4 linked regions of the Coturnix japonica genome follow. The protein of the gene in region 3 interacts with the protein of the main gene of each other region in a pairwise test. Links are inferred from orthologs where the notes say so. Each region holds a gene or a part of one and is shown on either strand. Other genes may lie near its edges.

Region 1 (7,502 bases), on a different chromosome or scaffold from region 3:
TTTTTTGATATTCATTCTGATGAGGGTTTCTTAAGAATATGAATGTATTGCTAAGACAGAAGGAATTGAAAAGAAAGATTTTTTTGTTAAAGGGTTAAATGGCGCCTGATAGTCTGCAATCTATCAAGGTAGGCAAACAAGGGGGGGGGGAAAGAAACTCCACCTTGTAAATAAGGCAATTGCAAATCCAGTTTCTACAATCTGGAACAGAGCCAGGACCTAAGAGAGAAGGATTGAGAGGAAAATAAGTTGTAAATTCCTCCAAGGTAAAGTTCCTATTTAAAATGCAAAGATACCAGTTTTAGGAAGGTCATGAAATCACAACGGGCTTTCTTTGAAGTTCAACTCTGAATGTCAATTTGACCCCCTTTTAAATGGGGAGCCAGACACAGCTGCACTCCAAGTGCAAGAAAGAGAACAGCAATGATTAACATGATGCTTTGCACTGAAAGTTGTTAGCCAATGGGACAGGGGAGGGAACCACAAAAAAACACTTTCAAGATTCTTTACTGGCATCATAATCTCAACGACTGAAGATTTATTGTACATTCTCAGTTTAAAGGGAAGGGGGAAAAATAAAGTAAGAGAAACATACCTCTCATACTGGCATAACGTTGCATCTTGTGTAACTCACATCAAGAGTTTGAGTTGAGACAGACTTTTTTCCTTCTTATGATGAGGGGACTTGCTGTGCTATCAGGGAAGCATGGCAACTGGTAGATCTATGCCTTGACTTTTCAACTATATGCTCTTCAAAAAGGTGTAGCAAGAGCTGACAAGTCCTGCAATTTCATCTCTGAGAACTCTTACTGAAGAGTAGTTTAAATCTGAGCAGGGTTAGAAATATATGGGTACACAAACGTATACCCACAAATATACACTTGTAAATGCATTCATATTGCTCAGCAATTTCCACTAAAACTATAAAGCCAGACTAGAAGGTTCACTTGATCTTTCCCATTTTACTGATAAATAAACCGTGGGTATTCTGACCAGTTGATGGTGAATGGAGACACTACACAGTGTTGACAAACCAAGAAGCAAACCGTTCCTTCTCTTGGTTTTTAATTGAAGGTTAGTTGAACTCTGGCACTCTCCGCTTTAAACAACTACTGGCAACAGAAACAAAAGACAGGGCATAATTTCATTAATACATTCCTTTAGTCCATCAAATATTCATCATTTGCATTGCCCAGATATATTGCTAGAGGTGATGAAGAGGCATGTACCAATAATAACACAGTGATGTTCATTCATTGTCGAGAAGAGGTAAGTCCTGCTTACCTCTAAGAAGAGTCCCGCTTTCCAAGGGAAGTAGAAGATACCATCATATTTAAAAACATTAAAGATCTGTCTCTAACTCTCCAAAGCTCTCTTTGCAGCAGAACAAAGCCTTGGTCCTAGCACTTCATTTCTTCTCACCTTTCACATAACTGTGTACAGATGTAAAAGTGACTGTTGAGTGTCAAATCTTGCCACGCTATCTCCTATGTAGCCAAAGGCCTCGTGTCAAGTGTTCCTACCACTTTCTGTTACTCATAGTCAGAAAGGTGACAGATCGTTCACAGAAAGTCTGTTCAAGAAAGATCTTGGCAGAAAAGTGGTGGTAAATCCTAGTACAAAACTACCATAGTACCATAGGTCATGACTCAAACCAGCCAGTAAAGCTGCCATGTTTCAGGCAGTTCATATCTGAGCATTCCCAGGACACTCTGAGTTGTAGTGCAGCTCAAGCAGAGAAAAGAAGATATAAGTATCTTGCTTATAGTTCTCAATGCATTTGAAAAACAAAGGTTATTAATTATTAGTTTTTAACTTAGTTTATTATTCTCTTACATTGCTACCTTGCTGCATATTAATACTCCCTAAAAAACTTAAAACTCAGCTCCCCTAATCAAAGGTTGTTCCCACTAATAAATTGCCTATTCCGTATTTTTATACAAATTATTTTACACAATATGAGTCATATTGAAATTGCTCTAATTTAAATACTTATGTTTATTTGCATGACTAAGCATTGTTTATCAGTAAACTTGGCACTTCGCATCTTCAAACATTTTAATTGCATATACATCAGTTATCTGAAAATGTACCCAGGAACTAATCTTGGAATCATATGCATACACTCATCTACTGCTTCCTGAAATAACTGATGCTTTCCCATGTGCACTGAATCACAGTCAAGGTAACAGTCACAGGCCTGAAGAAGCATTTCTTACTTATGGGAAAAAATGTATGGTCCAGAGAGGAGATAAAGATTACCAACTAGATTGATTTGTGCAGAACTTCCTCTGATTCAATTTTCTGGCTATATCCCCTTGTCCTATTTGCCATGCACTGCCAAAAGGAGTCTGGACATTTGCATTCTGAACCTTAGATGTTTATAGACATTGATCAGATACCCACTGAGTCTTCTTTTCTCATGGCTGAACAGACCCAGCATTTCCTCATAATAGAGGTACTCGAGGCAAAACTGGAAAGAGATTTTGAGGAATCATTAAGTCTGCCTCTCCCATCAGGTCAATTATACTTGGACTATTCCTGACAGAGGGCTACCTAACATGTTTTTTAATTGCAGCAAGTAACAGAGGCATCACAGCTTCCTTCAGATCTCTAATTCAGTGTTTAATTCTCTTAGTAAATAAATTTTTACTAACTTTCAGCCCCATGCTCCATTTAAGCCTATTACCTCTTGTCCTATGAAAATTAGCCCTATAGTTTCTATTTATTTACAGAAATCTTTATCACGTTTTTTCTTATAAGAACAAATCAGTCACTTAAGACTATTCAACACCAATTTATTCAATATTTTCTGAGGAGCCAACACTCCCTGAGCAAAGAGTCTTTAAAATGCCATTGCCCCTCCTTGTAAATTATCTGCTGTAGTAAGTACTCCATCTTCAGTGATGGGCACTGCTGGCCTAAAATGATGGTAACTAAAAGGAATGGAAATTCTCCATTAGTTTGGTTAATAAGAGACTTTCAGGAAGAACCTGCTGAAAACAAGAGCCCCAAATCTTTTCACTGATCTTTGCTTATAAGTACATACATATAGTGATATATATGTGTGTATATATGTGTGCATGTATGCATATATCGAGCCAACAAGTTATTTGAGCAAGTCACCTCTGCATTGCTTTTTCTATTCCAAACCCAGACACTTAACTTCTGCAACTTAGACCTTAATTTTTAATTTTCTTTTTTGTATGAACGTGCTTAGAAAATAATTAAATCATGGATCCAGCGTGCTGTGGACATTTACAGCTGTACAGTTCTGCTTGTTACAAAATGTGCACGATATAAATAAGTGAGAGTGTCAGAAAGGGGTAGAACATAAAAAGTCACAGCGTGCTCGCTTGCCACTATCAACAAAATATCCCAGAGAAAACTAAATGCATCCTATTAGCTGGAAAACTAAAGCTGCCTGATGTGTAGGAAGGACAGTATCTGTCTCCCCTAATCCCTACTACATTAAAAACAAAACAAACAAAAACTATTCACTCAATTATCACTCTGTTTGTCTCATTATTCTCTCTCATTACCTTTTTCTGTATTAAACAATCTACCACCAAGATTAGGTTGCTGAACACATAAAATTAAGGCTGCACAAGACAGAGGCTGGGTTTCCATTTCCTGGCCAGTGCCAAATCTCCTGACTGTTAGATGAGAACAGCAGACACAGAATCCACCCCATCTGAGGGATCTCCTCCTGCCTTTGCACGACTCCCACATCCTCCTCAGGAAGCACTGCTTGAAACATAACTTACACTAAGCAGATCACACCTGAAAAATGTATAAAACATCATTACTTTAAAACAAAACAACTTGTATAAATTGCTCATAATGTACATCGTTACTTCAATCCTCTGAATACAGTTTTAACTTACCACAAGTCAAGAGATCACTCGTAAAGTTTGCATATGTGAACCAAGAGGGCTGCCCGGGCACCTAGGACTACTTCCCCTCTTCCTTTTCTTACCACCCCCTCAAAACTGCCCCATGAATACAGGAAGAGAGATCACCAGCTGCCTGCTGAAGAAAACAGCCCCTGAATAGTATGCATCATTCAGATGATTTGGATGATTCAGTGTTTCCACATGAACTCTGCTGAAGATGCACACAAATGGCGCTTTGTGCATTTCTGAATCGCAAGCATAATTAATAGTCCAAGTACATATCAAAACAACTTCTATTTGAAGAATAACCTTCCATCTAAAATACAGCACTGTATCTGTTACAATACAAGAGTTCCAGTTCTCAGACCTATTAACAGCTAGATTCACTTGTGTTTACATACTCCAGCATCTCCAGCCTTTATATACCTATCTAAAAAATCGTTCTCAAAAGTTGCAGTGAGCAGGACAATGACAAGAGGATCTAGTGGCAAACTCATCATTTCGAAAGCCACCTGATGTGATGTGCATTGGTTTTAAGCTGGAAGGGCTGGGAAGGAACAGAAAGGCCAGATGTTGCTTTCTCAGATACCGCAACACAGTAAGCACCTGTTTTGTTCCTAGGCATTTCACAGACTTAACTGCAGCTACATTTTGAAGGTTCAAGATGCTCTCACTATTTAGTAACTCACAGGAGAATACCATTAAAAATTCCCAGATATAGGCTGAGAACAAATGAACACACATAAACAAAATGAATGTACTTAGTGTGGTGCTCAAGGATGAAGAAATAGTATCTGTTTTTGCTTCTCTAATTTCCCTTTCTCATTTATTCAGAAGTTCACTTGATTCCTCTCTGTCAACAAGATCCTACTTTTATTTCAGCCCTGTAGCCATAAATCAAGAACGGCCCTGTTAAACCAAACAGATCAGATTTGACACAAAAAAAAGAAGAATCAGACCTTGTGCTGACTTGTTCCTTCCCGATCTGCCCTGTTAACTTTCCAGGAGAAGTGCTTGTTTGTCCTAGAGAACAAAAGCAGCATGAGCATGTAGAACCAGCCCAAGGTGCTCTGCAGGAGACACACAGTTAGTTGTTGTCTGAATCCACATGCAGCACCCATGCCACCACAGACTACTGTGCTTCAGCAAAGATAGAAGGATTGAAGGTTGCAAGGTAGGTAGTAATAACAGAATGCCACCAGAAACCATGCATATATTTTTCCACCAATGGTTTGTGAGCCATACTTTTATTTTCATCACAACTGAATTTTGCTTCATCTTAGGATGCAGACATTATACATATGCAACCTGAAGAGCTTGTGTCAAACTTGTTAGGCTGGTGCAACTTGCATCCTACAGCTCCTATCCCGAACCAGTGCTGTCAGATTCATCCACCCTTGCCAAAACATTTCCCATCTTACCCAGCTACCCAAGCAGCAAGCACTGTGTGAGACCAGAGTGTCCCAAAATCTTCTGAAATTTGAAAATGTGCCAAATATTTCCCTAGAGACAGTGAAATCCACATTTGCAGGAGTGAAGCTGGGGAGACTTCACATGTCAGTCAGAAGAGCTAGTTCAGGATTTCTGAAACTCTGGTGGTGGTTTTTTTGTTCCCTGCCATTTCTTGTAGTATTTTTCATGGCAGCTTCCAACCATACTCCCTCCTTTGGTAAACCACTGGGGAAATGAATCATGATACTGAAATTTGAGACTCTCCCACATCCTGCTAGAAGATTCCCCCACACGCAGCCCATATTCATTGTGAGCACAACTGCAAACTTTATTCAGAAGCAACCCAAGCACTTTCCTGTGGCCAGATTCACTCACAAGAGTACCCCCTGGTGTTTGTGCCTCACCTTGCAACATCTTGCTGCTCATCCAACTCCAGCTTCCTTGTCTCCTCTCCTTCGACAAAGGACCTTCTGCCTAATGCTAGTTGAATTAATGCCCTCCTGTACAAAAAGCCAAAACCATAGGTTGTCAAATCTATTGCAGTTTATTGGGACCAATCACATCACCAAGGATCACACTGTCACAGTAGGACACCAGATGTATGACCCAGCCCATCATTCCATCTTCATGGAATCCCGGTATGCAGGGATGAGGGTTATGTGACTCCCGCCACATGGAAAAGCAGTAAGGGAGATGGAAGGAAATCCCCTACCTGACCACCTGCTAGTGAAAAATCAAACCCATTCCTGAACAAAGCTTCACAGAGCAGCTCCTGCATGACAGCAGGAGTGCACCACTGAGACCACCACTGCTTCTTCAAGGGTTAATGCCAAGACATGTTTTGACAGCATCCCATGCAAGCACTCCCCACTGGGAAATAATTAGATGGATTTGATCCTACATGTTTGCAACTCCTGTTTCTTCTGCAAACAAAAGCTTTCTAGACCTGTACTTTGGGAACTGAGCCAAGTCCATTCTCAGCTCCTGAGAGGGAGGAGAGAATCTACTGCTGCAGTTGGTAGGCTCCTGCTTACCGCTTCTTCTCTACATGCTGCCAAGGAAATCAATAGTCAGCGGGCTGGAAAAGGGAGAGGGCCCGTACAGCAGGTCCCCACCCATCTTCCCAACATGACTTGCAAATCCAGGGTTACAAAACTCAAGAGCTAGGAGAAAAAGCAGACCTTATTTGCTCTCCAGTGATAAAAGGCCAGTTTGTTTATAGTTTGAGGGCCAGCTACTGCTAGGGGTGGTGGACGGAGCTTCAAAGCAGAGTCTAAGCTGGCAGCTGAGTAAGCAGAGAGGAATTATTAGATGAACCAAGAGCTTGGAAATACTGCCTTGCAGGCAGTGCTATTTTTACCAGAGAGCTCAGACAATGAAACAAAATCATGTTACAAATATTCAAAGTTTTAAAGCTGTTTGTGTGATAAGTTCCTGTAAAGTCCCTTGGCCTTTACTTATGGAAAAGAAGGGTAGACAGGAAGATGGAAGGAAAATAATGAATTCTGGAAATCAGTTATTTTTCATACATACTCAGTTATACCAACTCCCACAATAAATAAATCTGAAGAGAAATACAAAATATGTTTGTATTCATTCATTCATTCTTTCAGCTTGGGGCAGACCATCTCAGCAACAACCACCCTATTTGTAAGCCCCTGTTCATGTTTTGTAGAGAGATGTTGAAGATCCCCCCAGTTGCTCTACAAGAATCTACAACATCTGAACCACTGACCTTGCAACAAAACAACCACTGAAGATGCAGGTGCTAAAGTTTGGTTGATCATTTCAGAGGGGTGAAAATCCTTAGTTTCATTATTATTCAGTATTGATTGCAATGTTCCATAGCACAGAAGAGGGGGTTTCTTTTCAGTAGCTCTTTTTACCTACTTACAGATAGATTTATGGGCTGTGACCACATACATTAACTTTCACTGAAAACAAGTGAAGACTTCTTTAGAAATATTTGCACTGGAAGTAGCTAGTGGCAGAAAGAAGAGGGAAATAAGTAGCACTAAAAAGCACATAGCTGCTTGGAAAAGTCCATTAAACACATGTAGTATCAGTAAAAGCTATGGCATTTTCTGTAGCTTTCAGTAATTATTTTCCAAACCAAAAAGCCTCTAAGCAAAGGTCGCAAGGCTCTGCCAGAGC
Region 2 (7,449 bases), on a different chromosome or scaffold from region 3:
ACAGGGCAGCGTGGTGATGGGCAACGTGCCACTCAGCTTCACCATCTGTGAGCAAGGTGCAGCCTTGTCAGCACTTGGAATAGGCTCGGGGGCCCAGCATTGCAGCCAGCACAGTGCAGGGAAAGGCGCCGGGCAGAGCAATGGGGCCAGGTGGGAGAGATCAATGGCACAGTCTGCGGTAATTGGCAGCTGATGGCATGGGGCTGTGCGACCACAAGATGCCGGGATGTCTCCACTCACAGTGTTTATTCTTCAGGACGTCCCTGTCACACACCTAGCTGCTGCGATTATTAATTACTATTTATAATTTGCTTTGGGTATGCATTGCAATAAAGGTGGGAGCCTCCTGGCAGCTCCCAGGCTGGGTGGTGGGGCCACAGCTCCAGCACGACTGCGGCTCGGCTGCCCAATGAGTAGGAGGCCCCATCACTGCCCCATTAGACTTCCGATTACTGCGATCTCATTCTAACTACTCCAGAGCACTGCAGCCTCTGCCCAAGGCAGGCAGATGGAGAGGGGATTCCTAGTGCTGTGCTGGTGGCACATGCAGTGAGCAAGGGCACCGGCAATACAACACTACAGCCCATCAAGTCCATACTGCAGTGGGCGTTCCAGTGGTCGTGTGGATTGTCTGATGGTGCGGGCATGCTTTGCTGCCCAGGGTTCCCTCCATGCTGCCTATAGCACAGAACAGGCCATGTTACCACTCCATGCTTTGTGCTGTGGGCAGGGGTGGGTCGGAGCTGTCGGCTGGCTGCCAATGGGCTGCACTGCGACATGAACCTTCCCCTGGTGAACAGCCAGATGTGGGCACGGCTGCCACCTGCCCCAGGAGGCGGTGTGGGCTGTGCGGGTTGCACTGTCCCACACATCCCGGGCGCTTCTCTGCCGTGACTTCCCAAGCCCACGCTGTCACAGCCCTGCTTAGGGTGGGGTGTGGAAGTGGGCACAAGTTCCTGTGCGGTGGTTGGGACCAGGGCACAGGAAGCAGCTTGCCGGGGGGCAGGCAGATGTGTTCCCCTGGGTACCCAGGGCCAGATCCCCTTTGGGTGCATGTGATGCCCACGCAGAACCACGGCCATGACCCGGGCAAAGGGCTCGTGCCTCGCCTGCGTGCAGCCCTGTGCTACCACTTGCTTCCTCTTGGTTTTTTTTCACACTAGCTGTGGAGACATGGTGCGCACCCCGTGTCTGGAGCAAATAACAAACCCACGTCATGTGTTTTCGGTTTCTCTGTTCCCTTGCCTCAGCGGCACGTGCTGGAGATGCACAGCAGCACCTGGGCACTTTCCGTTTGATACAAACACGGTGCCCTGGGTCACCGGTAGAGATGGCAACAACACGCTGTTTGCACGGGCACCCAAAAACATTCGGGGCTGTCGGTGGAGCTTTCACTCCACTTTCACCTGCTTTCCAGAAACTTCCTTCTGGGTGCAGTTTGGCCAGAGGGACACCGGGCGGTTTGTGGCGCGTTGCCCCTGCTCCTGCCCGGGACGTGGCAGCGATGCTGGGGTCACGGCATCGCCTGTTTGCGGCGCGTCCCTCCGGCAGCAGCGCCGAGGGCGGCTCTCCGAGCTGCGGCCAGAGCGAGGGGCGGGGGGTCCGGGCCGGTCCCATGGAGGGAGCAGCCCTGGCAGGCCCGGAGCCGGTGAGAGCAGCGCCGGCCCATGGGCCCCTCGGCCGGGAACGGCGGAGCCGTGCGCTGCGGCAGTCCTTGGCTGTCCCCTCGGCGCTGACGGGCAGCGCAGAAATAGCAGCTGGCCCAGTTCTCCCGCCCCCGTGGCCCAGATCTCTAAGAACGGAGGTTGTTCGCGCGGCAACAGCGGCAGCGGCATCAGGAGCCGCATTTAGACTGTGAGCTCAAAGAGCGGGAGAGGCTGCCAGCAGGATCCCAGCCTGCACGGGTGACGCTCCTGCTTGGAGACTGCGCTGCGGGCTCTGTTTGTTGCTGTAAACACGCTGCCGCTGCAGCTTCCCTGTTACTATCTATAGCCGCGATCTCTTGGCTCCCGTGCGAGGCGAGGCTGCGGTCTGGCCGCCGGCTCTGCCTGCCCCGAGCCAGGGCTGCCGACATCCCCGCCGTGGGTGGGTGTCTCCGGGCTTCGCCGCGACGGGGATCAAAACAAAACCCAAACTGGAGGAAAGGACGGGCCTCGCCCTCGCCGCTCCCCCCGCGCCCCCCGCCCGTGCCCCCGTCCCGACGCCCGGGGGGCTTCCCCGAGAGCTGCCCTGCCCCGGGCCGCCCCGCACTCCTTCCCGGCCCTCCGTGTGCGTGACCCCGCCGGGGGGACGCGTCCCCGCCGCGCTGAGCACCCTCCCGCCGCGGGGCAAAGGGGACGAAGGGCGCCGCGCCCCTCCGCACCCCACGCGTGTCCGCGGCCGGCTCCCATAGCACGAAGCCCCGCCGGGCCGCTCGGGGCGGGGGCTGCCGGCCGCGGGGGAGCGCCGCGAGGGGGGGTCGGGGCGGCCCCGTCCCACCGCGTCCCGTCCCGTCCCGCGCCGCACTTGGCCGCAGCCTGGAGCGCTTCCCGTCAGTCACGCCCCCTCGCACAGGATGTATCCCATATAAGGATATCTGCGTCAGTGGGTTCCCGAGACCGGCCGTACCACTCCGCGAGGGGGGGGTTATCCCGGAGCGGCTCCTCCCGCCCGTCCCGCCGCGCTCCCCTCGCCCCGCCGCGCCTCCTCCGCCCCGCGGTGCCGTCGTTCCCCGCACTTGGAGGCGGAGCGGGGCGGGCGGCGGGGCCGGGAGAGCGGGGCGAGGCGGACGCGGGCAGAGCGGCCCCCCCCGCGAGCGGGCGTGGTGCGTCCCGCGTGACGTGTGCGATTCACGCGGAGCAGGATATAAAGGGTTGGCGCCGAGCGATACTCCAGCGGCAGAGGCAGCTCCGGCAGCGGAGACAGAGACGCGCGGCGCGGAGCGGATACAGGGACGCAGCCGGCCCCTCTTTGCGTTCTGCCGCGAGGCGCTCCGCTATAGCACCGCAAGGCCCCCGCACGGCCACGCAAACAGCCGACATGATGTACCAGGGCTTCGCCGGGGAGTACGAGGCGCCCTCCTCCCGCTGCAGCAGCGCTTCCCCGGCCGGGGACAGCCTCACCTACTACCCGTCCCCGGCGGACTCCTTTTCCAGCATGGGTTCCCCCGTCAACTCGCAGGTGAGGGGCCGTTGCGCGGCCGCCGCGGGGCTGGGCTCTGGGGGTGCTGGGGGGAGATGGGTGCGGGGGGCGCGCCTCGGGCCGGGTCGGGGCGATGCGGGACCCGAGGGGGGCGGGTGGCTTCAACCGGGCCGGGGACAGAGTGGGGAGCGGCCGCGACGCCGCCGCGGGGCGGGCGGGGGGAGCCGGGGTCCGGGCTGCGCGTTGCGGCGGGTGTGTAAAGCGGCTTCATTGATAAAACGCGAGTTCATTGAGGAGACTCCGGAGCGGCGCCTGCGTCAGCGCGGACGTCAGAGATATTTATATCGGGCCGCTCTCGTGCGGAGCGGCGCTGGCGGCGCGGCCCCGGGGGCGGCGGGGAGCGGCTCGGAGGGGAGTGTCGGCCGCAGCCCCCCGCTCACCGAACCCCCCCCCCACTTTATGTCCCGCAGGATTTCTGCACCGACCTGGCCGTGTCCAGCGCCAACTTTGTACCCACCGTGACGGCCATCTCCACCAGTCCCGACCTGCAGTGGCTGGTGCAGCCCACCCTCATCTCCTCGGTCGCCCCCTCCCAGAACCGCGGGCACCCCTACGGCGTGCCGCCGCCCGCTCCCCCCGCCGCCTATTCCCGCCCCGCCGTGCTGAAGGCGCCGGGCGGCCGCGGGCAAAGCATCGGACGAAGGGGCAAAGTCGAGCAGGTGAGCGGGGCTAAGGGGAAGAGGAGGGGGGTGGAAATGGGGGGCCGGGAGAGGGGCCGGGGCGCGGGGAAAGGCGGGGGGTCTGACGGACGCGCTGACCGCCCTCTGTGTCCGCAGCTGTCCCCGGAGGAGGAGGAAAAGAGGAGGATCCGCCGGGAGAGGAACAAGATGGCAGCGGCCAAGTGCCGCAACCGGCGGCGGGAGCTGACCGACACGCTGCAGGCGGTGAGTGCCGCCCCGGGATCCCGGGGGCTGCGGGGCGGGGACGGGACCCCGCGGGTGGGGGCGGGCGGGTGAGGTTGGCTCCGGCTGACGGCCCGATCTGTGCTTCCGCAGGAGACCGACCAGCTGGAGGAGGAGAAGTCCGCTCTGCAGGCGGAGATCGCCAACCTGCTGAAGGAGAAGGAGAAGCTGGAGTTCATCCTGGCGGCGCACCGGCCCGCCTGCAAGATGCCCGAGGAGCTGCGCTTCTCCGAGGAGCTGGCGGCCGCCACCGCGCTGGACCTGGGCGCACCCAGCCCCGCCGCGGCCGAGGAGACCTTCGCCCTGCCGCTAATGACCGAGGCGCCGCCGGCCGTGCCGCCCAAGGAGCCCAGCGGCAGCGGGCTGGAGCTGAAGGCCGAGCCCTTCGACGAGCTGCTTTTCTCCACGGGGCCGCGGGAGGCCTCCCGCTCCGTGCCTGACATGGACCTGCCCGGAGCCTCCTCCTTCTACGCGTCGGACTGGGAGCCGCTGGGCGCCGGGAGCAGCGGGGAGCTGGAGCCCCTCTGCACCCCCGTGGTGACCTGCACCCCGTGCCCCAGCACCTACACCTCCACCTTCGTCTTCACCTACCCCGAGGCGGACGCCTTCCCCAGCTGTGCTGCCGCACACCGGAAGGGCAGCAGCAGCAACGAGCCGTCGTCTGACTCCCTCAGCTCCCCGACCCTGCTGGCCTTGTGAGGGGCTCGCCCCGCACTGACTGACCTGCCGGGCCCCCTCCCCTGCCCACGCACCCCCACGGACTCACCACGCCCCCCGGGCCTGGGGAGGGCACTGCCGCCGCCACCCCCACCCCATCCATCTGAGGCCCGGGGCCTGATGGAGTGCCTGGGCCCATACCTCCTCCAGAGATGTAGCAAACCGCATGGAGTTTGTCTTGTCCCCAACGGCCCATCTGTGAGAGCTGGTAGTCTGTAGCATGTCCCACATGGCTGGGTTGGTGACTCCCCCCCTCCTTAGTATCACTAGCATTAACTAATTAATCCCTTGGTTTTAAATGATTGGAATTAACCTGGTGCTGGGTATCTCCGACTTGTATCTAGTGCAGCTGATTAACAATAACTACTGTGTTCCTGGCAATATCGTGTTCTTAGCAACGACCCATCTTATGTGGGGGGGGAAAGAGACTCTATTTTATTTTCTAGTAGGTAGATGAATAGCTATATCCATGTACTGTAGTTCTACATCGATGTTCATTGTAACTTTACTGATCATGCGTTGTTGAGGTGGTCTGAATGTTCTGACATAAGTTTTCCATGAAAACGTTTTTATTGTGTTTTTAATTTATTTATTAAGATGGATTCTCAGATATTTATATTTTTATTTTATTTTTTTCTACCTTGAGGTCTTTTTTGACATGTGGAAAGTGAATTTGGATGAAACTTAAGCATTGTTTGCTTATTATTGTTCAGAGACATTGTCAATAAAAGCATTTAAGTTGAGTGCTGGTGCTGTCCTCACTTTACCTTTTGCGCTACTCCCTCTGACCCCAGTGGGGCTCCCTGAACTCTACTTGGGGTTGGGCTTTACCGAAATCTGACTGCCGTAAGCGTAGGGTGCGTTGGGGTGGGAAAACCATTAAGTGCAGATCTGTCATTGCCCTGATGTGTTAGTCAGCCCTGGCTGTGCCTATGCCCTTCCCACCCGCTGGTGGGGCCACCCCTCCCCTGACCTTCCGGCTTCCGTGGGCTGGTGCACCTCTGTGTGTTGCCTGCCGTGGCCTTTCTGTGATAAACCAGAGGCGTAGGAGGGGTCTCCCCCCTGAACTGCCCGGGCCATCTCTGTGCTGGGATCTGCTCTGTCACTTGCATGTGGCTGGCAGCCCAATTTCTTCCTTCATAGGGAGGGGTGGGACTGCAGCCTTGCTTTGTGTGTCCTGGGCTTGCTACTGCAGGAGCAGCTACTGAATGTCTTCTCATGATGTTTGCACACGTCTCTTTGAACAAAATAACATATGGCACAATACATTTCCTCAGTGTTTTGTATTGGTTCTCTTGGTCCTTGGATGAATGCAAGCTATGGCAAGCAGCTTATGAGCTCTCTCCCCACCAGGGTCTTGTCTGTGCAGCCTGGACTCTTCTCTGGCTCATGTGAAGAGGTTGCTGCTCTCTGTTCCTCCTGCTGCCTGCACAGCAAAAAATGTTCCTTTGGTGGGCAAATGTCTCTGTGTGCAGGAGGCTCTTCTGCTCATCTCTTGATCAAGAATGTCATTTCCAAGATGATGGCAAAGATGCCACCTGTGCTGGCACATGCAGCTGGCCGAGGATTGCTTTTTCCTTTGAGGAAAGCCTTTGTTACTTTGAGGGTGACAGAGTACGGGGATGGGCTGACCAGAGAGGTGCCTGACATCTTTCTCTGGAGATATTCCAGACCTGCCTGGCTGCCTGCCTGTGTGACCTGCTGCAGGGAACCTGCTTTAGCAGAGGAGTTGAACTCAGTGATCCTCAAGATGCCCCTTCCCACTCCTACAATTCTGGGATCCCGTGACAGCATGCTCAGGAAATCTCCGCAGGACTCTGGAGGTCACTAGCATTCAGGGTTAGGTTTGTGCAACTGGAGGCTTCCTGGTTATGGCTGCAAGCTCTGCTTTCTTCACCCCTTCCAAACCAGAACACGCACAGGATGTACCTCATCTCAGCAGTGTGTATTGCACTGCTCAGGGCTTGCTCAACACCACCCGCGCTGTGCAAAGGCGAGCATCACTTGTGCTGCTTCCGTCTTTCAACACACGGCTGGAGGCAGCAGTGACAGCTGACAAGGAATGACCCTGGTTGCCACTGAGATGCCACCTGCTCAGCAGCAGCCACTTTTGAAGCATCACTCTAATTTACAAGGACAATACCCAGGCGCAGCAAACACACAGTGGCACTGACCCCAGAAGTCATGTAGATGTAGCTACAAGAGACAAGTGACTCGGTGAAGTCAGGAGATCTAGAATCACAACGTGTCTGCTGCTGAAAAGACCATTGTGCTCCTGGCTGGAGAATTCAGTGAGCTGCATGTTCAGCAGAGGAAAAAAGCGGCCTCAAAATACCAAGCAACCCCCTGCAGGCAAGTGGGGTGATCCCAGCCTCACGGCCTCTCCCCATTACTAGGCAGAACCTTGGGCTGTGCTCCTATCTATGGTCCTCCTGCAGCCTCTCTGAGGTTCGTTCCTTCCAGCAGTGGTAACAGTGACCACCATGTGCCAGAGTCAGTGTCTGCAGCACATGAGATGTGATCCCAGGCTCTCACCCTGTTCTTTGCCTTATCACAGAGTCACAGAAAGGCTTGGGTTGGAAGGGACCTCAAAGCTCACCCAGTCCCAGCCCCTGCCATGTGCAGGGCTGCCCCCCAGCAGCTCAGGCTG
Region 3 (7,006 bases):
TAGTCTCACTCTTAACTATCCTTCCACCAACCGTGCTCTAATCTACACACACACATGCACGCTCTCCCTGTAGCCATCAGCCCCCAGGAGAAAACCATGGTCATCATTACCACCAATGAACCGGTGGTTCTGACCACCATATAGCGGATGCTGAGGGATGTTGCTATGATGAGGATAGGGATGGGGAGAGGGGAGTGATACATATATATATACAATCATTTTTTTATTATTATTATTTTTTCTTTTTTTTTTTTTTTTTGAGCAGAGACACCCTGCAGGAACGGGACCGGGAGGAGAGGAGAGAGCATGCAGCTGGTTTCAACAGCAGGTGTCAGCCTCAGCCCACCACAGCAGAGAGGAGGGAGGGGCAATGGAAATGCTGGTGCCTGGATGAGTTTTGGACGCCTGAGTGGGTCTCTGGAGGAAATTTGTGATGGGAGGGAGTCATGGAGGTGAGGAATCCCGGGGAGTTAGAGGAAGGCTCCTACTGACCTAGTTTCAGGAGCCAGCCCTCACGGTTAGGGTTGAAGAAAGTATGTGTGAGATCATTCCCATCATCTTCTGGTATAGAGAACGGCTCGTTCTTTATGCTGTCAAACAGATTCTGCCCCAGAGCATTGGAACAAGGAGAGAAAGAGAAAATACAAAGAAAGACATATTTCTGACGAAGTTGTACACAACCATTTCAGGTCCATCTGGTACATCACTCTACACAGGGGCAGGTGAATGAATGGGAAAGGAGGTAACAGTGAGCGTTAGCCCTCAACAGCCCTCAGTGTACACCTCAAAATGCTTCAAGAGTGACTGCAAGCTTCTTTCTGCACCCTGAGTCAAAAATAAAGGAAATCCATTTTGGAAACCATGTAATTCATCAGGACTGGCATCAGTGACTGACCACAGTATGTCATACGGGGACAGCTGAGTATGACAAGGTAGTACTAAGGATGTTAGGGGGTAGGAGGGGGCTGACAGTGACTGCAGCCCCATTTAGGCTCTGGGTTGGTGGTGCACCTTCCAATAACTAAACAGTCCAATAATAATAACAATCACAAAATGATAGGGGTTGGAAGGGACCTCTGGGAAACACCCAGTCCAACTATCTGCTAAAGCAGCTTCCCTACAGTAGGTTACACAAGAAAGTGTCCAGCCAAGTCTTGAATATCTTCAGAGAAGGAGACTCCACAAACTCTCTGGGCAGATTATTTCAGTGCTGTGTCACCCTCAAAGTAAAAAAGCTTCTTCTCATGTTTGTATGGAACTTCCTGTGTTCCACTATTCAAAAAAGCCTGGCCCCATCCACTTAATTCCCACCCATTAGATATTTATAAACAGTGATGATATTCATCCTCAGCCCTCTCTTCCCCAGATAGAACAGTCCCAGGGCTCTTAGCCTTTCCTCATGAGGGTGATGCTCTAGGCTTCTCATCATCTTGGTGGTCCTCCACTGGGCACTCTCTAGAAATTCCCTGTCTTTCTTGAACTGGGGAGTCCAGAACTGGACACAGTACTCCAGATGTGGCCTCAGCAGGGCAGAGGAGAGGTGGACGATCACTTCCCTCTACCTGCTGGCTATGCTCTTTGTAATGCACCATTGGCTTTCTGGGCCACAAGGGCAGAAGCTCGTGGCCAACCTGCTGTCCACCAGGATGCCCAGGTCCTTCTCCTTGAGCTCCTTTCCAGCAGGTCAGCCTCTGACCTGTACTGATGCATGTGGTTATTCCTCCCCAGGTGCAGGATTCTGTACTTGTCCCTGTGTAGAAGGCTACCACTGTTCACTGCTATTCTCTGAATGTCTCTCTTGCTACACGTCCTCACCAACAAGCATGTCTGCAGTCACTCTCCAAAGCATTTTTCATGTTTTCCAGCTTCCTTTTTTATACCTTTTTCCTCGAGCAGCTCTCCCCCTTACAGGGCAGAAGGTCAACAGTATTATACTACGCTGAGATCAATGGACCTTACATTCACAGTGAAGCCTGACCCAGAGAGAAAATAGGGACTGATGATAGAATAGGAGATCAAAACCTTTCTTACCTTTAAGAGTTCTTCTGGCAGGTCTGCTCCATCATTGATGCCTCGGTTGATGGACACAAACCTTTCAAAGGGGGGTTTGTCTTTCACATTAGGGTTGTGCAGGCTGGTGTTAAGCATGATAATAGAGAAGGAGAGTATATAACAAGTATCTGTCAATGAGAAAGGAAACCAGGACTGATGGCATTTTTCTTACAGAGCAGATAATCCACATGCTAACAGGTGACTAGGCTTCTAGTTGCTTGTGAGCAGCTTCAACCTTTCAGATTTAGGAGGAGATTTCCCCTCTACCAGGTGTAAGAGTGGTAGATGGGGCTTGGGGAGAGTTGATCTCCTGTGATGGAGACAATTCCCAAATAGGCAATTTGGGCAGATCTGGTCAGGTAACAGATCTGCTAGCAAGGAAAGTTCCTACAGACCCGTGCCTGTAAGTGGTACCCATGCAGCAATGAGACATGTTTCACATGGGGCTGGAGCACTTCTCAAGCCTACTCCCTGTTGGGATGGGCTGGAGCACAGTAGAAGAAACAGGACAGAAGACCATCAGCCTACTGAAAAGTACTGAAAAGGTACTACTGAAGTATCTTTAACTTCAGGTAAGGGAACATGAAAGACAGCATCCATACTTTCAGAGGATGCTTTCTATGCACTGTGATTGGGAAAAGAAGGCTCCTCCCTCTAACACACAGTGGATCTTTGTTTTATAGGCCTTCTCCTCCCTATAAATACCTGTGGACTGGAATACTCCTGGGTTACACTTGCAGTACCAGTTGGCAAAGGCCTCCATCATGCGGTCAATTTTCTGTGCTTCCCCAGGCAGCCGGAAGCTCCATAGGAACTGTCTAGCAGGAAGAGCATGCCAGAGAGTTAGTCAGTTTGTGTACAAGGAATCCTTTCCCTCAGCTCATGAGACACTATGGAAATAATGGATGTTATCTCATCACAGCATGAAAATAGTGCAGCACATCAAGCAGGAGATCTTCTCCTTTCTCTAAACATTTCTCTCGCACATTCTAAAAAGAAGAAGCAGAGCTAAGCATCCTGTAAATCATGGCTCTTCTTCCCTACCGAGCATTCTGCAAGGTATCAGGGACCTCAAGAGAGAAAGCCCTGCCAGAAGACCTGCCTAAAGAGAATGAGATGCTCTAGGACAGAGTCACTTCATTACAGACATAATGGGCACTGTGAGCTAATGTATTTCCTAGTACAAAAAATAACTTACCCTGCCCCCACCACCCACTGAAATCAGAACAACCCACCCACCTCACTATCCCCATCTTCTCTGAACATGGCTAGTCCATTCAGAAGGCCATGAAGGAGGTCCACCAAGGAAAAGTATGTTTGCAATTCATAGACCAGAGCCAATACGCACAGCACAGACTTGAGAAGCCCAATCTCGTCCCACTGGGGCTTTCATGACCTCTCTGGGTGGTAAGACCCAGTGGCTGGACAGGTTCCTGCTCCATTTGTTACTTCTTGAACACCCACCTTAGTGCTTGTACCAGGTTGAGGTTGGCAAACTGGTGACATGCCACAAACGCTTGGAGAATCTGAATGTTTTTGGAGTCTCTGGGAGAGGAGAGAGGGAAAAGGTCATTAGACAGCTTTGTCCCTGCTCTGTTTGGATGCTCCTTGGTGTGATCACAGGCATCTTGCTCCCTCCCAGACTCCCTTTCCCCTCAACCAGCAAGAAACCAAGATGTACGGGCACCACTCTAGTCTGAGAAGACTGACTCTGGTATAGATGGAAAGACAGGTAGCCCATGCAGCCAGCCTCAGCCACACTCCAAAGGACACCTCCCAGTGTACACTGCCCACCCAGCCCACTGTAGGGTGAGGTTATGTTCAGCATCAGCATCTGCCAGGGGTTATCTAAAATGGCATCTGAGAGGGATTAGGCAGAACAGGGCATCCAAAGGACCTCCTTATCTCATTTGGGTTTCTTACCTCCCACCCAGGTAATCTCCGATGGCTGTCTTGTTCAAGCCTTCACCCTTGTGGAGGAATTTGGCGATCTCCTGCAGGTCTGAGGACAATAACTGCTGCTCAATCAGGTACTGGATCCCCTGGAGGAGGGCAAGCAAGACAGCAAAGTAAGACAGATCTTTGTCTTGGTGTGAAATTAGAACTTTAATATTCTAATGTCAGACTTCATTGGCTTTGCTGATATTGTCTACTGTTACTCCTCAGTCTCTCTATGGGAGACCACAGCCACATTCTCCTTATTCCCACCATTTTTATCTACTGTGGTGGGCTGGTATCATGCTCAGTTCATTCCTAAACTTGGATGAATGTTTCACTGAACTGGAAACTCAAGTAAACAGGAAAGGGTAGCGTAGCTCTAAAGTTCAAACAGCCACGTATATTTAAAGTTAAGTCAAAAGGGTTTATTTTAACATTCTTGGTCAAAATATCTTAGAGTTCTGTTCCTGAAAGTCAGGTTTCACCAAAGAAACTTAAAGGGAAAAAAAACAAGCCAAAAAACTGTTTGGAAATAAATAAGAAGATGGTATCAAAAAGGGTATTCAGGCAGAATTGTAGGCCTGAGACTATATCTTTTTCTTAAAGTTTTTCATAGGCCACTGAACAGAGAAGTCAGCAACCTGGTAAACTCCACGCTCCCAAGCCAATAAGAATGGAGTGTGTGATCTTTAAGGAAGACAGAGAGTCTGAATCAGGTTGTGCAAACAGCCAACATTTTATTTTAGAGAGAGAATTTCATCATTTTCAAAGTCACTGAAATCTGAGCTTTTGTTCAGCTTAAGAGCACTATCTAAAAACACAGCAATTCTCCAGATCACACTGCAATTCTCCTCACAAAACACAGTAAAGGAATGAATATTGTTTTAGATATATCAAAATGTTCTACTTCAACAGAATCAATTCACTTTGCCTTGCAATATATAAGAATCTATTTCTAAAACGTCCCAAACAAAAATCAGTTTCGAAAGAAGAAATTGAAATGTTTGGGAGATTTCTCCACACTGTTTTCCTTCCTTTTTCCCCAGATGAAATTTCAGTTAGATCAATTTAATTTTGCAAATTATTGCAGTGATGGTGGAGCTCCATTTTCCAGACTAGAATGTTTCTCCCAGAAGATTTTGTTCAGCCATATTTCTAGTGTTTACCTCCTCTAGCCTCAGGAACTTACCCTGAGCATGTGGAGATGGGAACTCATTTCATCAGTATTGTGTAGATGAAACATAAACTCAGCAGGGACAATGAAAGTTCCCTGCATTGCAAGACCTACCAGACTCTAGTTATGTATCAAAAGAGAAACAATAAAAAGAGATCAGTGTGTGCCTGTTCTAAACTAAAATCAATATAGGAACATAGTACAGCAGTTGGACCGGGCTGATCAGCACTGAACTAATAATGCTAAAACGGTTTGGTGTCAGGATTAGTTCAGGCATTTCTGCATGGCATGGCAAAGTGCCATAGAAAGAGATGCCTCTGGGGCCTCAAACCAAGGTCAGACATAAAGACAAAAAGAGAATCTGCTATCACATGATCTGGATGTCCTGTTATCAGTGCTCAAAGGCAGCTCCCACCAGCAGAGGGATGTTGCATGCATTTCCTATGCAGTGTAGAAGACAACTTGAGGGTCTCAGCAAGGAGGCATGTAAAGCTGTCACACAGACCAGCAGCCATCCAAGATGATAGCTGCAGTTAGCTTACAATGAACAACTGTTCAGTGCAGACAGTTTTTCTTTATGGAGTTAAAGAAAAATGATCCACCAGTGAGGAGGAAGGAAGAGGAAACTGTCTTTCTCATTTATTTTCTACTTAGTCTGATTTAGAGCTTTCTGCTGAGGACGGAAGGCTATGGAGTCTAGATCTCACTGCTAAGAGCCTCAGAAAGTGGAAGATACACAATCACTAACCAGCACTTGCAAAACCAAAACTACTTCCAGAACAACAAGGTAGCTTGGTATTGTGGGAGGTGGAGGAGGGGATTGCCAAGCTGCTTTTCACCATTAAGCAGTCCTTATCAACTGGGGAGGTCTCAGACATCTGGAGATTTGCCAGCGTGATGCTCATCTACAGGAGGGATTGGAAGGAGGATCCAGAGAACTACAGGCCTGTCAGCCTGACCTTGGTATGGGGAAAAGTCATGGAGCATATCATCTTGAGCACAGTCATATGGCGCATGCAGGATGCTCAGGAGATCGGGACTAGACAGCATGAGTTTGTGAAAAACAGGTCCTCATCTCCTTCCATGACCAGGTGACCCACCCAGAGGATGAGGGAAAGGCTGTGGATGTATTCTGCCTAGACTTTGGTGAAGCTTTTGACTCAGCCTCCCACAGTATTCTCCTAGAGAGGCTGGCAGCTCATGGCTTAGACAGGTGTACTCTTCACTGGGTAAAAAACTGGATGGATGGCTGGGCCCAGGGAGTGGCAGTGAATGAAGTAAAATCCAGCTGGTGATTTGTCAGTAGTGGTGTTCCCTAAGGGTGAGCATTGGGGCCTGTCCTATTTAATGTCTTTATTGACAGAATGGATGAGAGTATTGAGGGCACCCTGAGTAAATTTGCAGATGACACAGAGTTGGGTGGAAGTGTTGATCTGCTTGAGAGTAGGAAGGCCCTTCAGAGGGATCTGGATAGGCTAGATTGATGAGCTGAGACCAACTGTATGAGCTTCCACAAGACCAAGTACCAGGTCTTGCATTTTGGTCACAACAACCCCCTGCAGTTCTATAGGCCTGTAGCAGGGTGGCTGGAAAGATGAGTGGTGGAAAACAATCTGGGGGTATTAGTCAACAGATGGTCAAACATGAACCAGCAGCATGTCCCTGTGGCCAAGAAAGCCAATGAGATCCTGGCTTGTATCAGCAATAGTGCAGCCAGCAGGAACAGGGAGGTGACTGGGTGTAGTGAGGCTGAACCTCAAGTGCTGTGTTCAGTTGGGACCCCTCACTACCAGAAAGACATGGAGGCCCTGGAGCATGTCCAGAGAAGGGCAGTGGAGCTGT
Region 4 (7,659 bases), on a different chromosome or scaffold from region 3:
CTGGTGTGGAGTTCTGGCTGGAGAAGGATCTGAATCTGGGGAAGCTCTGCCTTCTGGGCACTGACCCTGGGGTGCTTGTTCTGGAGGTGAAGGATTCCCAGATCCATACAGCTCTATACTTCCCCTGACTGTGGCCTTTTGCTCTTCTCTCCCCACCAGACGCTATTTTGTGGACCTGACAAGCATGAAAGAGCACTTCAGATCCAAGGTGCACAAGAAGAGGTAATGGGGGGTGCTAAGCAAAGCTGTGCCCAGCCCCATTCCCAGTATAAGAAGGGCAGTGGTGGTGTCGGACTTGTCCATGTGCTTCCCACCCATCTCTGCCCCAACAGGTTGAAGCAGCTGAGCGAGCAGCCCTATACACAGGAGGAGGCCGAGCGTGCTGCTGGGATGGGCTCCTACATCCCCCCAAAGAAGGTCCATGTGCAGACCCAGTCCCTGGATGAAGTCGTGGAGATGGAGGCATCCAGCTGAGTGTCCATGCACAGGCTCCCTTTGTCACTGTGCTGCTGAAAGGACTCTTTGTTCAGCTCTTTGCCAGGCGCTAATGAGAAGAAGCAGCCAGCGTGCTCCTGGGTGCCCTGTCTGCAACCCCATTCCTGGGGGCAAGCATGGGTTGCTCCATGCTGTGCAGTGTTGTGCTCACTTCTTTGCATTCAGAGAGGTATTAGGTGCCTCTGCTGGAGTTAGAGGTTGCATTGCCATTAAAATATATCAATGAAAACACCGGTGTTTGAGCTCTCTGGGGCAGAATGGCAAAGTCCCACTGTTCTTCCCTCATAATGGGGAGGAATCCCCCACCTGCTGGGGGTTATGCTTCTGAATGAAGTCTTCATCAAGCACTTGGGTTTACTGTAAGCAGGTCACAGTGGGACTGCTCTTTTGGGCCTTGAAGAGGACATGCTAGTGTTCCCCCCCAGCAGGTACACTTCTAGGCTTGTAGAAAATCAGTTTAGGTCTGGTAGAACTCTGCAAGTGAGGGACTGGAGCTGTGCATGCTGTGTGATATGGCCCTCCTCATTGCATCCCCCCACCTGCCTCTGCTGATCACACAGTGTTGTGTACCTGTGCTTCTGCTGGTTGCAATACTAGTACTGCTGTGTTCCTGCACTGAGCCACACATCAGGGGTTTTTCCGCCCTGCTGCTTAGCAGCGTGACAACAACACAGCTTTGTTCAGAAGGAAAGGATTTATTTCCATGCACACTGCCTGGATTTATTCCCCCCTGCCTTCAGAAATCAAAGCGACCAAGTCCAGCTGTCAGCATCCAACTCTCTGCTGGGGAGAGCAGCCCCACTCTCTGCTCAGGGTTAATGAGCATGGGGAAGGGGAAGGCTGTGGTTGCACTGGAAGAAGCACTGACTGTGCTTTTTATCCTTGGGCAGGAGGCAGCCTCATGTCCACACATATCAGAGGCTTTTCCTGGTCTCAGTGCTCTGTTACCTAATGCTGCACAGAGCTGACCTCCTTTCTGCCTCTAATAGGGGGGGGTGGATGTGGCACTCAGCTCTTCCATCTTCTGGTCTTGTGCCCAGTCCTCGGGCTTTGCTGGGGTGTGGGGCTGTGCTGGTGGCCCTGGGTGCTGCTTGCTGCATCCCTTCACGTTGTTGGGGGCTTGAGACAACTTTGTGTCCCATCCTGGTGGCATCCCAGCTCCCAAGACAGGGACAGGTGTATGTTCCCCAGCTCCAAGGCATGGATGGGCAGGATGGGGCAGTGGTGTAGGTTGTCTGGGGAGAGCCACCATCCCAAGGCCTAGATGGGGACCAGGAGACCATCCCCACAGCCCATCAGGGCTGTGGGGGGGCCTTGGGGGGCCCAGCCATCCTCCGGGTACTGTAGAGGGAGAGGCAGAGCCCAGCAGCTGCCAGCAGCAAAGCCATGGAGGGCAGCACCCGCTCCCTGGGCTCAGCCCCACGTCCTGCTGCCAGCTGCATCTGGAGGAGATAAAGATGACGGCAATGGCAGACCCCAGCCTCAGAACCCCAACAGGGGCGTTACATGGCCTGAGCACCCCCATTGCACCCAGCTGATGCCTGATATGTTATTGGGGTGACCCCAGCACCCTCACAGCCTGCTTGGGGGCATGGATAGGGCCGAGTGCAGCCCCAAGGCCCGCTGGCCACATGGACAGGATTGCTCTGCAGCCTGCAGGCCTTGCAGGCAGGGCCCTGGGCTCCCCGTGAGCCAGGATAGGGCTGAGCACAGCTCTGTGGCCTTCAGGCCGCGTGGGCAAGATCTCGGGGTCCCCCTGAGCCCCTTCCCAGCCCCACGAGCACCTTACCTGGAGCAGGCGGAAATAGCCCGGGGTCAGGCGGCGGGGACGGATGATCATGGTGCAGAGGGAGGCAGTAGGTCGGACCCACGGCCCCTCCACACACGGCTGGTGCGGCACGGCTGTCAGCAGCGATCAGCGCCCGCTGCTCCCCCAAGCGCACACGGTGCGGCGGGGGGGCATGGAGGCGTTTCAGGGGGGATACAGGGCGGGTTTGTGGCTTGGAAATGACATGGTTGGAAGGGAGGCAGCGCCTCGCCTCAACTTCCCTATTGCAAATAAATCGTGCTCAGGGGGGACTCCAAAATCCCGCATCAGTGTGGCTGCGTCAGTGCTGGGAGTTGTGCCAGGCCTCAGCTGTGGTGCAGGGGGAGTCACAGCTCAGGAGGTGGGAGTGGAGGATGGAGCTCCCTGCAGTGAATGCTGTCCCTGTGAGGGCCTTTGATGGCTGCAGGCCCCTGTCTGCTGCGTGAGTCACTTGGGTGCGTCGTGGTGCCTCACCCCACCGAGCTGTACTGGGAGGGAGGGAGGGAGGGAGGAGAGGAGGCAGGAAGCTGCGGTGAGCAGCACTCAGGTCCGCCAATGGGGCCGCCCTCACCTGGCGCAGGTGAGCAGCGACGAGGGCGGTTCCGGCCCTGCCGCCATGGAGCCTGTGGGTGCTTGGGGCCCTGCACAGACTGCGGCCTGGCTGCGAGGTGAGAGCCCTCTGCCCCAAGATCCCCCCCTGGGGGAAGACCTCAGCCCTCAGGTGGGAGGGTTGCGTCCCTGCTTTGGGGGCAATGCTGTGGTGACATTGGGAGCCCAATGTTCCCCAACCTTCACTCTTCCCAAAATCCTGAGGGATTTCAAAGGGAGAGCAGTGGGGGCTGTGAGCACGGTGCTGGCTGACACCTGGTGCCCTCATTGCATGAATGGAACCAGGTGTCACCTCCACCATCAGGTCACCCGCGCCAGGGGACAGCAGACGGGTGTCAGGGCCTCCCCCTCACCCAGTGCCTGGCTCTCAGCAGGGCTGGACACAACCGTGCAGGGGTATCTCTTTGAGGAGTGGGGTCTGGCAGGAACTGAGCTACTGAGGCTATCAGAAGGAGCTCTGGAGGCACTGGGAGTATGGCGTGTAGGACACCAGGAGCTGCTGCTGGAGGCCGTGGAGCAGCTCCGAGCTCTGGTGAGCAATGGTTCAATGGATGGTGGGGTCTGGGATGGATGGAGGGGGGACATAGAGACAGCTGGATGGAAGGAGAATGTCAGGATACTGTGGGCTGCAGGGAAAAGGAACATGGGAACACTCTGGGACTGACGGATTGAAGGGGAACATGGATACAGCTGGGCTGGGTGGGACATGGAGGGTTATGCAGAGCTGGATAGAGCAGGGGGACATGGGGATACCCTGGGCTGGTTTGGAGGTTGAGGAGGACAAAAGGGGATGCCTGAGTCTCATTAGAGTTGAGAGATGGGAACACTTCAACAGAAGTTGAAGGGAGACATGGAGATAGCATGGGCTGGATGGAATAGGATATTAGGTTACCCTGGCTGCATGAAGAGGGGGATATCTGGGACACTCTGCACTGCATGGGTGCTGAGGAGGTGATGTGAGGACACAATGGGCTGGATGGAGGAGGGATACAGGGATACTTGGACTAGATAGGACATGAGTAGTTTCCTAGGGCTGGATGGAGTAAGGAACAAGGGGATGCTCTGGGATAGATGGAGGTGGGGACAATGAGATTGCCCCAAGCTGTGGCAATGGGAAAGGCTGGGGCGGAATCCTGGCCACCCTTGGCCACTGTCCTGGCCACGTCCTCACTGCAGGACACAGAGCTGGGGAGCACCAGCCTGAGGACACTAACAGAGAGGCTATGGGAGCTGGCACAGCGCACTGAGACCACGGTACTGGAGGGGTCACCTGGAGGGGCCACCCTACCGCCACCCCCCATCACCCTGCTGGCCTGCGTCGTCGATCTGATTGGAGCTGCCAAGAGGCTCTTCTCCTGGCTCAACAGGTCTGGGGCAGGCAATGGTCAATTATGGGTGCTGTGAGCACATCGCCCTGGTGCTGAGCTCTCAAACCTCCGCTCCAGGTACCTCTTCTCCACCCTGAATGACTTTTCATCCACTCGGGACATCGTTCTGCTCTGTGCCCACCTGGTGGAGGTGCTGCAGATGGTGGGTGGCCACACAGCTACATGACCATGCTGATGGGCACAGCACAGCTAGTCAACCTCCCATCCCCTAAACCCTGGAGAAGGGGGAGAGATGGGGTGAGGGAGGAGGTGTTGGGGAGGGCTGGAATTCAAATGATCTGTTTCACTCACCCCTGCTCTTTTTCCTCCCAGGACTGCTCTACTGCAGAGCGGAACAGCCAGATTCTGTATATAGTGAGTGCTGGACAAAGAAGGGGCTGTGGACATGGGGGTCCCAGCAGTCCTGGACCCACCCCATATCTACATTTTTACCCACAGTGCCAGCACATCATAGGCATCTGCAAGAGCATCGTGGGCTGCAGTCCCCCAGCACTGCTGGACCGCAGGGCCATGCTGCAGCATGTGGAGCTGGCACTGCCCCTCACACCACGTGAGAGCCCTCCAGATTCCCCCAGCACCCCCACGCTGCCCCCTGAACTGTGGGGCAGCCCCCCACCATCCCCCAGCACCCCAGTGCTGCCTCCTGAGCCACCAGGGAGCCCTCCAGCATCCCCCAGCACCCCGATGCTACCCTTCAGTCCACTGGTGAGATACCCACTGCCCCAGTACCCCTCACCCTCCTTCATCCCTCCTCACTCACAACTTCCCCACTGCACTGCAGGGCCTGGAGATCACCTCCACCAGCTCCTGCATGCACTTTGTGTCCATGACCAGCTCAGAGGTAAGCTGGGGCCTGTTCCCTTCTTGTTTGTTACTGTCCTCTGATGCCACCTTGTCCCCCTTTTTACCCTTGGCTATTTGGAACACTGCAGCCTGTCGGGCTGGGTCCTGGGAGCTTCTTAGGCCTTGTACCACCCTCCTGTCGCCAGACTGCTGGATGGCTGCATGTGGCTGAGTCTGGGCAACTCATGCCATGAGTGGCTGCAGCTCATTCCACCATCCCCCACCCCTGGACCCTTGGGGCTGCCTGGCACCAGGGTCAGTCCCTGGGTTAATGGTTAACCCCACTCTCTCCGAGTCACTCTACCTTCAAGTCCTCCCAGCCCGGAAAGCTCCATAAAGTTCCCTGTTGCCTGTATCTGCCTCAGGCCCTGGCTGTGCACGGGGGTCGCATCCTGCCCGGGGATGAGATCGTGCAGGTCAATGAGCAAGTGGTGGTGAGTTGGGGACAGGGGCACATGGGGATGCTGGTTTACCTGGGAGGAATCCCAGTACAGCTGGAGCTGTGGGTTGCTTTCCTCTGGCTGGGAAGGATTTTGTGAATGCAAGAACGTGAAACAGAGAGGATGTGGGGACCAGGAGGGCACATGGGGCCAAGCTGTGACCCTACTCACCTGGTGCCCTTGGCAGGTGGGTTGGACACGCATCAACCTGGTGAAAAAGCTGCTGGAGAAGGCGAGTGGAGTGTCACTTGTGCTGAAGAAGGTGCCCCTCAGCCTGCCTGGCTGCCCCCTGCCCACCAGGCTGCAGGTGAGCATTCCCAGTGATCCCAGTGCCGGACTGGGCTGTGCTGGGAGACAGCCCTATGGGAGGTCATCCCAAAATGCGACAATGCAAGGTGAAGCACTGAGTCTCCATTCACAGGTGCCAGGTGCCCATCTGGATGGTGTGGATCTCCCCAAAAGCAGCAAGTGCCCGAGCAGCCCCTCGTCCCCTGCATCCAGGTGAGCCCCAACCTCGCGTCCCTTCGCCACAGTGCAGAGCCTTTGTGCGAGCAGCCCAGGCAGCTGCCAGGAGTCTTAAGCAACAATATAAACAAAGAGAAGTGCCTCTGTTTGTAATTAATTCACTTGGTAACATTTTAATGGGGAGGGAACTATATTTAGAAATGACCCTTCTCCTCGCCCGGAATGGAAAGAAGCACATCGAGCCGTTGGCTCCGTGGGCTGAGCTCACTGCTGCCGGGAGCTTTTCCGGGCGGGAGCAGTACTGGGAGCCCCACAGCCGGGCAGGGGGCACTGTGTGGCTCAGGGGACCCTTCTCCCCCAGCACCACTGCCGACGTGGACTCAGGGCCGGACCCCACCGCTGACAAGGACAAGCACAGCACAAGCCAGAACAGGGAGGACGTGGGTGAGCTCCAGCCAGCAGCACTCAGCCTCGGTATGGAGTAGGCTGAGGGGAAGGATTCATTTCTCCCCCAAGGACAGGACGCTGCAGCCTTGCTCACTGTTTACAGGTACTGGGGAGGACGCAGTGCAGGAGGCCAGCACCCCACCAGGCACCCCAAGCTCACTGTGTGCCTTCCAACCCTGCACTGCAGAGTGCAGCCCCACAGCAGCCCCCAGGGCACAAAGTGCAGAGCCCAGCCAGACCCCCAGGGAGGTGAGAACTGGTGGGAGCATGGAGCTTTGCGGGGTATTCATGGGGGACACGAGGATCGTGTTTAGGGGCAGCTTGCTGCTGAAGGGTGGGCGAGGTGGGGGTCCCACGAGGCTGTGGGTGCTGCATTGCTTCACATTGCATCTGTCCCCATCCAGGGCAGCCCTGAGACGGGACGCAGACCCAAAGGTGAGTGGGACGCCACTGTCCCCAGGCTGGGGTGAGGTGGGCTGGGGGCTCGTCCCCCTGCCCCGCTCCTGAAGCCCCCCAAAATGCTGCAGGAGTGGCGACCAGGCTGAGCCGCCGGCGGGTCTCATGCCGGGACCTGGGCCGAGTGGATTGCGATGGCTGGCTCCTGAAGAAGAAGGACCATGTGGGCTTCATGGCCCAGAAGTGGAAGCGCTGCTGGTTTGTGTTGAAGGGCCACACGCTCTACTGGTACAACCACCCCAACGTAAGTGAAGATGCCCTCGCACCCTGCCACCAGGCTCTGCTCCAAGGCGGGCAGTGGACGTGGCTGTGTGTCCCCCACAGGATGACAAGGCTGCAGGTCTCATCAATGTGGCCACTTACAACCTGGAGAGCACAAGGGAGCAGAAGAAGAAATAGTGAGTGGGCACTGTGGTGCTGGCAGGGACCCTGCAGAGCAGCGGGTGCTGTGACATGGGGGAGGCAGGACACGGACTCAGGACAGCTTGTGTTCCTTGCAGTGTCTTCCAGCTCTCCCATGATAAGTACAAGCCCTTTGTCTTTGCTGCAGAAACGCTGGCAGATTTGAGCATGTGAGTGATGTAGCAGCCTGTAGTGGTCCTGCTGCAGTGGGCTGGCTGTGACCCTCTGTCTGTCTGGCCTTTTTTCCCTAGGTGGGTCAGCCACCTGATTACAGCTAAGACAAAGCATGCACTGGCCCACCAGCCTG

Evidence for each region.
Region 1: the proteins of CYTH4 (region 3) and IPCEF1 interact in binary tests that used the Homo sapiens proteins (3 or more experiments, as listed by UniProt). The link is inferred for Coturnix japonica from reciprocal best matches to the Homo sapiens genes CYTH4 and IPCEF1.
Region 2: the proteins of CYTH4 (region 3) and FOS interact in a two-hybrid assay, tested with the Homo sapiens proteins (2 studies listed by BioGRID and IntAct). The two-hybrid records come from large-scale screens. The link is inferred for Coturnix japonica from reciprocal best matches to the Homo sapiens genes CYTH4 and FOS.
Region 4: the proteins of CYTH4 (region 3) and CNKSR1 interact in binary tests that used the Homo sapiens proteins (3 or more experiments, as listed by UniProt). The two-hybrid records come from large-scale screens. The link is inferred for Coturnix japonica from reciprocal best matches to the Homo sapiens genes CYTH4 and CNKSR1.

Annotation. Positions count from the first base shown.
Region 1 is NC_029518.1:45,232,079-45,239,580, forward strand, and holds the start of IPCEF1 (interactor protein for cytohesin exchange factors 1), read right to left. Parts: upstream 4,065-7,502; 5' UTR 3,888-4,064; intron 3,784-3,887; exon of another isoform or gene 3,543-3,783; intron 1,434-3,542; exon of another isoform or gene 596-1,433; intron 220-595; exon of another isoform or gene 164-219; intron 1-163. UniProt on the Homo sapiens protein: Enhances the promotion of guanine-nucleotide exchange by PSCD2 on ARF6 in a concentration-dependent manner.
Region 2 is NC_029520.1:34,665,668-34,673,116, forward strand, and holds FOS (proto-oncogene c-Fos), read left to right. Parts: upstream 1-2,857; 5' UTR 2,858-3,018; coding exon 3,019-3,159; intron 3,160-3,590; coding exon 3,591-3,839; intron 3,840-3,956; coding exon 3,957-4,064; intron 4,065-4,175; coding exon 4,176-4,781; 3' UTR 4,782-5,542; downstream 5,543-7,449. UniProt on the Homo sapiens protein: Nuclear phosphoprotein which forms a tight but non-covalently linked complex with the JUN/AP-1 transcription factor. In the heterodimer, FOS and JUN/AP-1 basic regions each seems to interact with symmetrical DNA half sites.
Region 3 is NC_029516.1:46,896,974-46,903,979, forward strand, and holds part of CYTH4 (cytohesin-4), read right to left. Parts: intron 4,095-7,006; coding exon 3,976-4,094; intron 3,598-3,975; coding exon 3,517-3,597; intron 2,871-3,516; coding exon 2,758-2,870; intron 2,181-2,757; coding exon 2,032-2,180; intron 605-2,031; coding exon 493-604; intron 1-492. UniProt on the Homo sapiens protein: Promotes guanine-nucleotide exchange on ARF1 and ARF5. Promotes the activation of ARF factors through replacement of GDP with GTP.
Region 4 is NC_029538.1:259,186-266,844, reverse strand, and holds the start of CNKSR1 (connector enhancer of kinase suppressor of ras 1), read left to right. Parts: upstream 1-2,858; 5' UTR 2,859-2,918; coding exon 2,919-2,970; intron 2,971-3,285; coding exon 3,286-3,443; intron 3,444-4,087; coding exon 4,088-4,278; intron 4,279-4,356; coding exon 4,357-4,441; intron 4,442-4,447; exon of another isoform or gene 4,448-4,461; coding exon of another isoform or gene 4,462-4,536; intron 4,537-4,611; coding exon 4,612-5,004; intron 5,005-5,080; coding exon 5,081-5,140; intron 5,141-5,507; coding exon 5,508-5,576; intron 5,577-5,769; coding exon 5,770-5,889; intron 5,890-6,003; coding exon 6,004-6,083; intron 6,084-6,408; coding exon 6,409-6,521; intron 6,522-6,597; coding exon 6,598-6,743; intron 6,744-6,898; coding exon 6,899-6,929; intron 6,930-7,021; coding exon 7,022-7,194; intron 7,195-7,274; coding exon 7,275-7,348; intron 7,349-7,450; coding exon 7,451-7,522; intron 7,523-7,603; coding exon 7,604-7,659. Other genes in the region: ZNF593 (zinc finger protein 593), read left to right, coding at 160-222, 333-474. UniProt on the Homo sapiens protein: May function as an adapter protein or regulator of Ras signaling pathways.